3 linked regions of the Drosophila melanogaster genome follow. The protein of the gene in region 1 interacts with the protein of each later gene in a pairwise test. Each region holds a gene or a part of one and is shown in the gene's direction. Other genes may lie near its edges.

What was found. The genes of interacting proteins can lie anywhere in the genome.
Region 2: the proteins of Lcp65Ag1 (region 1) and AstC-R1 interact in a two-hybrid assay, tested with the Drosophila melanogaster proteins (one large-scale study listed by BioGRID).
Region 3: the proteins of Lcp65Ag1 (region 1) and CG5618 interact in a two-hybrid assay, tested with the Drosophila melanogaster proteins (one large-scale study listed by BioGRID).

The regions. Positions count from the first base shown.
Region 1 is NT_037436.4:6,134,163-6,137,238, reverse strand, and holds Lcp65Ag1 (Lcp65Ag1), read left to right. Parts: upstream 1-1,964; 5' UTR 1,965-2,025; coding exon 2,026-2,144; intron 2,145-2,205; coding exon 2,206-2,404; 3' UTR 2,405-2,542; downstream 2,543-3,076. Other genes in the region: Lcp65Af, read left to right, coding at 499-602, 661-859. UniProt on the Drosophila melanogaster protein: Component of the cuticle of the larva.
Region 2 is NT_037436.4:18,558,482-18,563,262, forward strand, and holds the start of AstC-R1 (allatostatin C receptor 1), read left to right. Parts: upstream 1-1,776; 5' UTR 1,777-2,223; intron 2,224-4,781.
Region 3 is NT_037436.4:20,352,288-20,357,137, forward strand, and holds CG5618 (uncharacterized protein), read left to right. Parts: upstream 1-1,632; 5' UTR 1,633-1,938; coding exon 1,939-2,118; intron 2,119-2,512; coding exon 2,513-2,700; exon of another isoform or gene 2,701-2,842; intron 2,843-3,017; coding exon 3,018-3,993; intron 3,994-4,057; coding exon 4,058-4,246; 3' UTR 4,247-4,345; downstream 4,346-4,850. Other genes in the region: eRF1 (eukaryotic translation release factor 1), read left to right, coding at 1,158-1,267; kin17, read left to right, coding at 4,610-4,850.

The DNA.
Region 1 (3,076 bases):
ACCTAACAAATAAATCCGAGTTGTTGGAGCAATTATTGCTACATAAAGTTACATGCCTGGCCTACTTTTTCCCATTTCTTTTGAATTTTTTACTAATTAGAATTTTATTTTTAAAAGGACTTCATTGAAAGAAGTCTACATTTCCCATTCAAAAATAATATAATAAATAAATAAATGTATCGTTAATTTAAATTCATCCACATCTCTCTAGATCTCTAGATCTATGAATATTAAATTTCCACAGCTAGTCTCAAACAAATTTGATAAAATGTAATCAAAATTGAAGCGCTGAAATGGCAACACTCAAAAACGTTCACCATTGAGTTGAAAGCAAAACTGAACTCAATATCATGCATTTTATGCTCAGTATGCGAATTAGATTAGCGTCACCGCACCTTGGACTTGTTCACAATTTATGTATAAATGAGTTCATCCCAAAGTCAATCGATATCATTCGCATCGAACTCTTCGAGATCAGCACATAAGCCAAAAATCAACATGAAGTTCCTGATTGTCTTCGTCGCCCTCTTCGCCCTGGCTGTCGCCGATGTTCAGATTCTGAAGCAGGAGTCCGATGTCGGACCTGTAAGCTTTAACTATGGGTATGTTTTGTGAACTATGTGACAAGGATTTGTTTTCTTACCCTTTGCTCTTGATTAGCTACGAGACCAGCGATGGATCCTCTGCTCAGGCCGCCGGACAGCTGAAGAACGTTGGAACTGATGAGGAGGCTCTCAACGTCAAGGGTACCTATTCCTTTGTGGCCGATGATGGCCAGACTTACTCCATCGCCTACACCGCCGACGAGAACGGATACCAGCCCCAGGGTGCCCATCTGCCCGTTGCCCCCGTGGTTTGAGCTATCCATCGTTAATATTGTTTTACTGAAAAATCCTTCAATTATGAATAAAACCTCAACAGATTGATTAAAGATACATGAATATGTTCGTTTTGAAACTTTAGTTTCGGAAAAATTATTTAACAATTGTAACATCTCCTAAAGAAGTTTTTAGAATGGCTTTTTAATGTGATCATTTCGCAATAAGTCAATATTTATGAAAAATAAATAACTTATTTCGAATCGTACATAGTTTCCACAAATTTGTTGCTTAGCCTGCGATCCAGAGTCATCCCTAAGTACTTGAGTGTGAGTAAATTAGAGATTCAGTCTCCGCTTAAAGAGATTGTACGGCATTCTCCTCTGTGCGAAAGTGAAAATTGATTTTCCGCGTTCACTACGATGTTTCACCTTTGCATCCTAGGGCCCATTGCATCCAGTTAATTTTGGATGATGTCTGTGGCTTCTTCGGGGACAATCGACGGGATTTCGGCGGAACAAGTTGGAGGAACAGTCGGCGGGACAGTCGACGGACAAGTTGGCGGAACACCTGGTGTCAGCGGGACACTCCAAGGACGCTGCCTTGTGCTACTCCGGCTCTAATGGGCCTAGATGAGCTTATTGAGCTTCCGCATCTAACTTGGAATACTCTCCTCTCCGTGCAGGATTTGAGACGGCACAGAAATGTTTCTTTTTTTTCGAATACCTCCAGTGACATTGATCGGTCGATCCGTGGGATCTTCTGAAGCCAAACTGGTGATTAGGGATCATTCCGGCGTGTCCCGCAGAATCTCACGCCAACTGTCCCGCCAACTGTCCCGCCGATTTATCCAGCCGCTTTCAGATTCTGCTTGTGAGATTGCCATCTATTGATAATTTTTCCTTGTTTCTCATGTGGTTATTAATATCAGCCGAGTATTTTTGCTAGTAACAACTGAGTTAGTGAAACCAATTTGAACAACTTGCCTAAACTTGTTGATTTGCATTTTGTGTTAGGTTTTAAGCCATTCAGAGATAGCTGGTACTCAATAATATACATTTTTCACATTATGTTTTGACTAATTCGGATGCGTTCAGCATAATCGAGAGGTTGTCCAACTATTTAAGACGCGCCCTGGCCAACAGAGAGCATCATTCGTCGCGAACTGTTCGATAGCCGCAGATCTAAGCACCAAACAACAATCACCATGAAATTCCTGATTGTCTTCGTCGCCCTCTTCGCCGTGGCTCTGGCTGCTCCTGCCGCTGAGGAACCCACAATCGTGCGCTCTGAATCCGACGTTGGACCCGAAAGCTTCAAATACGAGTAAGTTGCCTATGAGAAATGACCCAAAAGGATACCTAGCTGACACTGACTTCCTTCTTAGCTGGGAAACCTCCGATGGACAGGCTGCTCAAGCTGTAGGTCAGCTGAACGACATTGGAACTGAGAACGAGGCTATCTCTGTGAGTGGATCCTACCGCTTCATTGCTGATGATGGCCAGACCTACCAAGTCAACTACATCGCCGATAAGAACGGATTCCAGCCCCAGGGTGCTCATCTGCCCGTTGCCCCCGTGGCATAAGTTTTTCAACATTTTTAACTAGTTCCTTTTTAATGTCGGTTAACAGGAAATAGAAAACCTTTATTACCGTTCTTATCAAGGAGAACAGAATCTAAATCAATAAGCCTAAAGTGTTATTAAAGAAAAAATTATTACATGAAGTAATTTGTTTTAAATGGGAATTAATTGTAGCAGGAAATCATTGATCACTTATCTATAAACATAAGATAATTTACGTAAAATATAAATATACTTTTTAAGATATAGCTTTTCCCAATGGTCTATTTTAAAAACAATATTCAAAGTGCTATAGTTTTATTGTGATATAGAAGTTATAAGTTATAAGTAATAGAAGTTATAGACTTTTGAGAACTGTGTTTAGATTAATCAATCAATAATATTGAGAACTAAACCTGACATAACAACAGTTCATCATATATGATAAGCTGTTATCTAAAACAAGAGAGAATGCTTAGTGGAGTTCCCCGACTATCGGATACTCTTTACTCAGCTGGTGTGAATGCGAACGCGAAATTTCATAATTTTTCTATGATACCGATAGATATTATGAAATAAAATGAGAAAAAATTTAAAAATTGTTTAAAATGTGGGCGTGACAGACTCGGCTGCTTTAGGGCGTTAAAGTAGGCGTGGCAAAAAGGTTTTTCGCAAATCAATAGAAATTTACAAGAC
Region 2 (4,781 bases), about 12 Mb from region 1:
GAGGGGACTTTGCTATGGATAAAACTTTTTACGATTTGAGGAATGGTAAACAATAAACATCTCCCAATTTCGGTCGCATTTAAAGCACTTTTCAGTGCCAACGGAAAAGGATTAAAGCAAACTGTCGGAAATTCAACCAGAAGGATTAAAAGTTTTGCTCAAAAGGCCAAACTAAAGTTTGACTCCGAAGAACGTCGACAGTTGCCATATTTTCTGTGTCACTCTCTTTCCAAAGTTTCTTCTAGATATCCCCCAACTCTTACCATATGTTTGCCAGCTTTTTTTTCACTGTCATCTAACCAAGTCGAACTTTTTTCTAAACGAAAACATCAACTGGCTCCACATGGAAATTATTGCAGCAAATTTCTTTCCAAGTTGGGTGCGAACAAAAACGGAAAATTTCCTGTTCTTCTAATGACCAACAGAGCAAGGGAGATAACTCCGGGTTTGGGCCAGGTGGATAGTTTTCCAAGTGCACGGCAATTAGATTTCGACGCCTGGGGCTTCTTAAGTTGGAGCTCTGAGACGGTGGCAGTGCTGAGATATGATTTATTTACCCAAAAAATGTAGGAGGAAACTAAAGATTGGTATCTGAAACGCAATCACTTTCCAAACTTAATTTAAATATCTGATAAATTTGCAAACTAACTTTGTAAACTTTGGAAAAAATATGTATGAATGATTTATATCGAGTGTGATGTTTGGTAACGAGGCAAGAACATATTTTTAATGTTTTTAAGAATATATATATGATATAGCACAGTCTTGCTATATCATATCCTAAGTAAATTGTGAGAGCATGCATTTCTTGTCCTCCTTTCCATGTCATTACTGATTTCAATTATTGCAAACAACTGTATGCAAAATGCATGCAATTAAGGCTAGAATAATCAATCAGCAATCAAAGCCTTTCCGAATTCAAGCTAATACACGTACATTTGCAACTATAATTATAACATTGACTGTCCCAATACCGATATAATTTTAAATGCAGTGCCATACCTGAACTACGAAACAATTGTGCCGAAAATAATATGTTATGCAAACACATTTGTGTTATTGGAATTTGGTAAAAGTATAAATAACACATTACGTATACGGCCGGTAAGCCATCCCATAAACGATTTTGAACATTTTAATTATAAGGAATTATAAATCTGATAAAATAAGGGTATATGCTCGCTAATATATGTTAAATTTAGAGTAATTAAATTTAGGTCCAAAATAACTGGAAATAATTTTTATAACAGCATGATACCAAAGGAAGGTAAAACTTTTTAAAATTTCTTGTTTTAGCATGAGATAGATAACACATGGAAGTAGTTTTGATTAACCTATAGCGACAACACATCTCAATATTATACTTTGATAATCCTTGTTCTTATATCCTTCTAAATGGCACCAGTAGAATCAACAAGCACTTGCCCAAAATGGCAACAGAACTGCAAGCGCTAACATTCGACTGTTGTTGGCCAACGAAAGTGAGAGTTCGTATAAGAGAGAAAGTGTCGGCGGGAGAGTCTCCCTCACCGCGTGCTCTCCCGACCAACTGTTAATTGAGGAAAATTGCAGCTGGGAAAACGGCAGCAGACCGCAACACGCATCAGGCATCAGGCCAATCGGGCGACGAACCTGAAAGCCGAGCACCGAGCGCAATTGTGGATCCGAGCGACTCTGCAGTCGGAAAACTCGCATCGGAAAATTCGCATCGGAAAACTCGCATGCACCATAACAAAATTCGCCGGCAAATGCGGCGCGCAGTATGCAAAACAACACCGGAACGTGCAGTTCAGTCACTGTATCTGAATCTAAAATAATAATATAAAACCAAACTACGAGCAAACCCAGGGTAAAGTAAACAAAAACTTCGCCAGCGCCAAAGACCAAATTCGATGAACGTGCGCGAAAAACTCAAACCAAATAGGGTGAGAGTGGCGAAAAAGTTGGGCGGGTGATAGATAACCCCCGGGGGCTTTTCCTGCTGCCTGCATCCAATCCAAATTAGCGGCCAAAAACGCAAGGAAAATAAACAAATAATTTTACTACCAGCCGCCGTCGAATCACAAATAAATCCGACGTAGAGTGAAAAATAACATTAGCGTCGCAATCCGAGGAATTGCAGAAACGCTTGCCAAATATTTTGAAAACCCCGAAAAGTGCGTGGTGTGCCATTTTATCGGATTCGAAAGGATGAGTGGCTAGATGACACAATATATTCAAGTGGTAAGCAAAATGTGCCTCGAGGAGCATCGAACGGGTTGCCTTGTGTGCACATCTAAAACGATTGGGTGCTATCTATCTCCAATGTGATTAGAAATATGTATGTACTATATAGTAAATAAAAAATAAGCTCTCCTCATCTACATATAAATATAATCCTAATTCTAGTTTTTGAACTTAAATTAAATATAAATATAGTTTAACTTGAAGGGTTTGCAATACTTTCGCTCTGTGCTTGGGTTTTCCATTTTCAACGTTCAAATGTTTGTGTGCGTTGAAATTTATCAGATAACTGAAATTCTGTGCGAATAGCAATTTGTAACTGTTGAATGTCTTGCGTTGAGGGAAAGAGGTTGGTCTTCCTACGAGGCGATGGGATGGGTTGAGGAACGAGGATGCCCGATGATGTGGAAACTGAGAAGGGCTGACCATCGACGGCAGCCGCAGTAAACCAGAAAGGATTTTGGGGAAACGAAACAAAATTTGACAAATTAGGGAATGCTGGAATGGTCGTAAATGTTATTCAGAGAAGTGCTATGCTGAGAATAAATGCAGAAATTGTTACGGAGACATGTTGATTAATTCGTTATGTGAGATGTGCAGAATAAAAATGCCAATTTAAGAAAAGAAATGCCAAGGCCACAAGTAATTTTCTTAATAAATATCCTGCATACATATTAAAGTGCAGCAGAAATTATTTGTTATTGGCTCATTACTCCTAGGGGTGTGGAATTTTGTAAACTTGATTTAATTGTAAGTAATTCCCATTTTATTATGAGAAAGTTAACCAAGTGGTTCAGAACCAAAGCTATGAGCTACTTACAATTTTTATAGAAGCCCTCTATGTTGTTCAGCTATGAAACTCAAGTTCCTTTAGCCTCCGTAGTTCCCCCTTCACACCAGATAACCCGGCGAATGAGCTCATCCAGCTAAGTAAAGTCCACTAAAACCGAACACCCCCTCCCCGCAAGACCAACTAAAAGGCACAAGGAGGCGGAGATAGCCACTGCCACCCCATGACCATAAAGCCCAATCAAAAGGCCGTTGCACTCGCTGACTAACGGACTAACTGAGTGAATGACGTGCCCTGGCCCAATCCTTCAGTCAATCGGTTTGATGGCCTGAGTCCGAATGTGGAGCTAGAAGCAGCACGGGAAGACAACGCAAACAGCAGGCGAAAGTGAAGGAGCAAGTCACGGAGGAGGAGCAAACGAAGCGTTTCAGCAGCTGCTGCTGCGACTCTGCAACTCGGGGCGTGTAATTTGTCAGACAGATTTCTTTTAGCGCCAGGACACAACCCCTCCCATCCAATCCAATCCAATGCTTCCTACACACCCACACTCAGCAATTGCCCACCCACAAAAAATACCGCCCACGTCATTGCAACAAAACTGCTTCCTTCCTGACTTTTTTGGCCATGCTCTTTGAAACTGAACTGGGCGTCCGACGAGGCTGGGATTGCTCTTACAAATCAGATATTCCCTTTAATTATATAATTTACAAATCTTTGTTCGTGAGTTTATACATTACATACATAAAATCGGAAGTGTTTTAATTTGCTTTTACTTTTGCATTTAAAAATGAATTATAATCAAGTTGATATAGTATGCAATTTTTTAGCTTGAAACTATAAATTGTACACTTTTAAATCCGTTTTATTTTATAATTTTAAATCAAGGATCTTAACAGAATAGACATTAAAAATTGTAGTCTTTCATTATAGGTTTGCACCATTGGTGACATATTTTGTCAATGTTTCTGATACCAAGTAGCATTTGGCAAAAATGTGGTTAAGATAAGAAAAAATGTATAAAACACCCCGGACTTTTATTAAAACCCATTGAATAAGTGAAAATGGGAACAGTCTGTGCAAAGGTATTGAAAAAGGAAGGGAAAGGAACGAGCCAGACATTGACATTTCAGTGCAAATGAAGTGATAAAACGTAAAGGCAAAGCGGCGTCAGCTAGAAAATTGCCAAAGTGGGTAAAGGAAGTGTAGGGAAAAGTGTGGAAGAGAGAGACAGACATAGTTGGGGAGAAAGAGACGGACGACTGAGCTAGATAGAGAGGGCCTGGCAGACAAAGCGCGTCGAAAATGCGTCTAATTTGATGGAAGCGATGCATGCCTTAACCTTTCGTCGGCGTCAGGCAAACAGACAGCAGCAACAACGAACACAACGATGACAGGCACCAAATGATAGCATTTCCTCCCAACTCAAAGGATCCGACTTAGCCAAGAACAAGGACACTGGCAAGGGAAAGGGAAGGGGAAAGAGTAGGAGAAGGGACCAGCCAACTGGGAGAGGATGAGCACCGGATTCAAATGGCGGAACAAGTGCCAGAGATGCTGATGTGGCGCCTCCTCAGCTGCTGACAACAAATTGATGGCCAAGGATGCACAGAAATTCCTCGGAAATTAGTCAACGCACAAGGGATTCCCACAAACTTCACTTAAAGGGGAAACCGTTCTGAAATATTAGACCGTTGTTAATATCCCAATCCTTCATGCTTTCCCAAAACAAAATTCACTTTCTTTCCTTAATCAGAACGAAAAAATATCC
Region 3 (4,850 bases), about 14 Mb from region 1:
TAAATTCGTATTTCGTACTCGTAATTCGTAATTTGTATTTCAATGGTCATGTAAAAGCGATGCGATAGATATTAGCGCATTCTCCGTTCATCTGGTTCGATTTCGACTGCGGTATTAGGAGCAAAAGATCTTCGGTTAACTGCCACATGCCACTTTCGAACGTATCTGCATTTCCCCTATTCAAATTATAGCCGAGTGTTATAAGAAAGTATACAAATCTAATCCATAAAATTGTAATAAAAATTAAACCAGAATAAAAACACCACACAATGAGGATGGGGTATCCGTTTATATTCAGTCGCGAAGTACAACAAATATTTTATTTAGTGTATGAAAAGTTAAATGTGGATACAAAGGAGGTGAGAATCTGAGTTTCGGTTGAACTATCCTGTGTGTTGATCCTTTTGTTTTTTCCTCTTCATTTATTTTTCAATTTTCAATCAGCTTCTGTTCTTCTATTTTTTTTTTTTTTTTGTTTCTTATTTTAATTTAATTCAATTGCTGGGTGTGCCTCTGCAGGTATCTTACGCTACAAGGTGGATTTCCAGAGTATGCAGCTCGATGAATTGGACAATGATGGCTTCGATCTAGATGATTACTAGGAAATGTATCTGTAGAAATGAATTTGCCACTACGTTCGACCGCAAACTGAACTGCAACTACAACTATATGAATCCAGGAAATCAAATAGAATATTTAAATAATATGAGAAAACACAAACCTTCTTCCATTTTTACGTTGTTGGCGAAAAAAGTAAAATTTTAAATAATGCATATAGATACAAACGATAAAATGTTAAATCGAGGAAAACATATTAAAATGCAACCGTTTTACGTGAACAAATTTGCAATTTGAATATATTTTCGAGGGACTAGAGCTCTTGTTATATAATTAATTGTTCCTCTATAAATCTAAATCTAAATCTACATTGACAATACGCCACGTTTCCTAAAGTTTTTGGGTACAAGGAGAATTGTATCTGTGAGTTTTAATCGTTCTATTATAGCTTGAAAACGAAATTTGCACCGAAAGCTGATAAAATTCCGACTCTGCTATCTGCTGGATAAGTAAAATGCTGGTAGCCACTTGGAGTACTACCAGTACAGCAATGAAAGTAAAGTGAAATGGGCATTTCATTTTCTACTTTCTATTTGCAGGCACACTGGAAACAGTTTACTGCGAGATTCCCACTTCATTAGTTGGCAATGCACGTGGACGACAGCAAAAAGCACTCGTAGTACTTGTTTCGCCCTTGATTTGCATCTAAGAATCGCTCAGATACATCTGGTGAGCTGAAACTCGTTTCTGAGCCGCAGTGTCGTGCAGGTATCCGTACTCGTTTGAATATTTGTAAGTAATCATTGCAGCGAGACTTCCAAAAAGTAAGCTCAGCTAAGTTCTGCGGTGTTGGGCATCCAATTAGTTGACCAAGTTTTCTGGTGGCATGCACATGAAACTTGTTTAATCGATAGGGTAAATATGCAAATTTCGATTGAATTTGACGATAATGCGTCGAGATGAAAAGAAAACGAATTGTGCAGGATTTTGGTTACGAGATAAGCCGAATCAGCTAATAAGGCACGTGCTTAATTGATATATATTGTATGTTTAAGTAACCTAAATATGCACGACTTTAATATCACTTTTATTTCGCTTTCGTAATAAAACGAGGTTCACTCTAAAGAGCACAAGCGTGGAGGTGTATGTGTGTTCTTACAGCCCCGATCATTTGTATTTCCATTTGAGTGCGAGCGAAGACGAGGGTTTACAACTTGATGAGAATTTGATCAAGATAACATTAAAACACAATCTGCTGCAGTCGGACGGGGCACTTCTGATTGAATCGTCGACGGAAGAGGTTCGGATCTCGAAAGCCAAAAATAATCAGCCTTTTACTGGCCAATTGAGATACGGAAACTTCTACCGACCGAGTGTAGTATGGCTGAATCAGTGGATGGAGCAGAGACTGTTGACCAGATTCGCGATGGCCTCATGGACGACTGGAAGATCCTGGAGAACGTATTCCACCTTCTCCGGAAGGAGGATACCTTCTGCGTGGATCCCCAGAAATGGGACAAGCAGAAGATAGTCCCCTTTTTGCAGCCAGACAAACTTAAGGTGAGTGGAGCAAGTGATAGACGATTCGGCGTCTGCCGATGTGGAGATAACCAGAGATAACAGAGAACTGATTAATGGAAGAGTTCATTCGAAAATTGACCACCCGACCGCAAATTGTAGCAATTGTACTATGGCTTGCCCGACGAAATGTGAGTCAATTGATAGTAGCACTTCCTGATTGAGCACACTCATGCTAGTATCTGATAGTTTTAATTATAATTGAATTGTTTGTTATTTCATAGATTATGGTCGGTTTTTTCTGGGTAAAGATATTATTAGTTCGAAACAGAAAACGTTTTAGAAATATGTTGAATCTTTAATATACTTTCTTATTGCAAAAGTCGCTGTTCTATAACAATCTTGAGATTACATGATTTCGCACCATCACTTCCAGGAACTGATTAACCTGAAGGTTCGAGAGACGGAAAACTGCTCGCTCGCGGAGATCGAGGAGCTGTGCCAGCAGGTGATCCATTACTCTGTGAAAACCTCGCACGGCCGCTTCCACAATCAGCTCTTTGGCCAGCTGGACCCGTTTGGACTGGCAGGAGCCCTGGTCACCGAGGCCATGAACGGCAGCACGTAAGTCTGCGCCTTATTCCACACATGTGTCTTGTCTATATGAGTGACCGCTGATTGCATCTCGTGTTCCAATCTACAAGTGGTGTCGGGGTTCAACGTACAGATAATTGCGCTATGTAATGGAGATTGCAAAGTACTACATGTATGTTTCATAACCCCCCCCCCCCCCTTTCGATTAATTTAAATGGGGATTAAGCAGAGTTCATACACAATCATTGCAAGTTATTAATCATTTAGATGAGATTTCCTAGATAGGACTACCAAAATCAGACTTTTAACCGAGGTATCCAACAAGACACAATAAACTTTTGTTTCAGATACACCTACGAAGTTGCGCCCGTGTTTAGCTTGATCGAAACTGAGGTGATCGCGACCATCTGCAAGTTAGCGGGATACAAGGAAGGCGATGGCATCTTTGCGCCCGGTGGCTCCACCTCCAACATGTACGGCATGGTTCTGGCCCGCTATAAGATCGCGCCCGAGGTGAAGACGTCTGGAATGTTTGGAATGCGACCGCTGGTGCTCTTTACCTCCGACGAGTCGCACTACAGCTTCGTGAAGGCGGCCAACTGGCTGGGATTGGGCAGCTACAACTGTGTGTCGGTGAGGACCAATGAGCGGGGTCAGATGCTGTTGGACGACCTGGAGGCGAAGATCGCAGAGGCAAAGGCACGTGGCGGTGAACCGTTCTTTGTCAACTGTACTGCAGGCACCACTGTGTTGGGTGCCTTTGATGATATCAATGGTGCGGCGGATGTGACGGAACGACATGGTCTGTGGCTCCATGTGGACGCCTGTCTGGGAGGCGCTGCACTACTCTCCGCCAAGAACCGATCGCTCATTGCCGGCCTCGAGCGGGCGAATTCGTTTTCCTGGAATCCGCACAAAACCATCGGCGCTCCATTGCAGTGTTCACTCTTTTTGACCAGGGAATCTGGCCGTCTGCTGGAAAGATGCAACAGCACCGAGGCGCACTATTTGTTCCAGCAGGACAAGTTCTATGATGTATCCTACGATACGGGAAACAAGAGTGTCCAGTGCGGCCGCAAGATCGACGCTTTCAAGTTCTGGCTAATGCTTAAGGCTCGCGGATATGGAAAGTATGGACTCATGGTGGACCACGCCATCCACATCGCCAGGTTGCTGGAAGGCAAGCTGCGCCAGCGTGGAGATCGCTTTAGACTGGTGATCCCGGAGCACGAGTACTCCAATGTCTGCTTTTGGTTCATTCCGAAAGCAATGAGGGTGTCCAGCGAGGAGGAGACGCCTGAATGGTGGAGTCGACTTTACACTGTAAGTGAATAACAATGGCTTTGATAGACCATTTAAGCTCACATTTTTATATGCTCCTTTAAAGGTGGCCCCGAAAATTAAGGAGCAAATGGCCCACAGCGGCACTTTGATGATTGGTTACTCGCCTCTTAAAGCTAAAAATCTGGGCAACTTCTTTCGCATGGTCTTCACTTGTTTTCCCATCCTGAAAAGCAAAGAGTTGGACTTCATTTTGGACGAAATTGAGAGATTGGGCGAGAAAATTGTGCTTTGAATTATTTTCTATGTGAATTAAGCTAATTAATGGAAATCGTTCAATTGTACATTTCATTGTAGTTATTACTTTGTGATAAAAAATACGCCTTTATTATGTAAACTCGGCTTAATCTCTATTTTGAATATTTAAATAAAAATCTTTCAAGAAATGAATATTAAGTTTTTTAAATTCATTTTCTACCGCTATCAACAAATAATATTAGCCTGGTCACACGAACATCCCCCAGCAGTAACTATCGATAAAAGTGTTCACGGGTATTGTTGTTATACCCCAGCGCGGTCATACCTTTACGTGAGATCAAAACAATAAGTTTTTGTTGAGAAATTATTTGTAAAACCACGCACATAAAAAGACGCTACGATGGGTCGCGCCGAGGTAGGTACGCCCAAGTACCTCGCCAACAAGATGAAATCGAAGGGTCTGCAGAAGCTGCGCTGGTACTGCCAGATGTGCGAGAAGCAGTGCCGCGATGAAAACGGCTTCAAGTGCCACACGATGAGCGAGTCCCACCAGCGCCAGTTGCTCCTCTTTGCGGACAATCCTGGCAAATTCCTGCACAGCTTCAGCAAAGAGTTCTCCGACGGCTACATGGAGTTGCTGC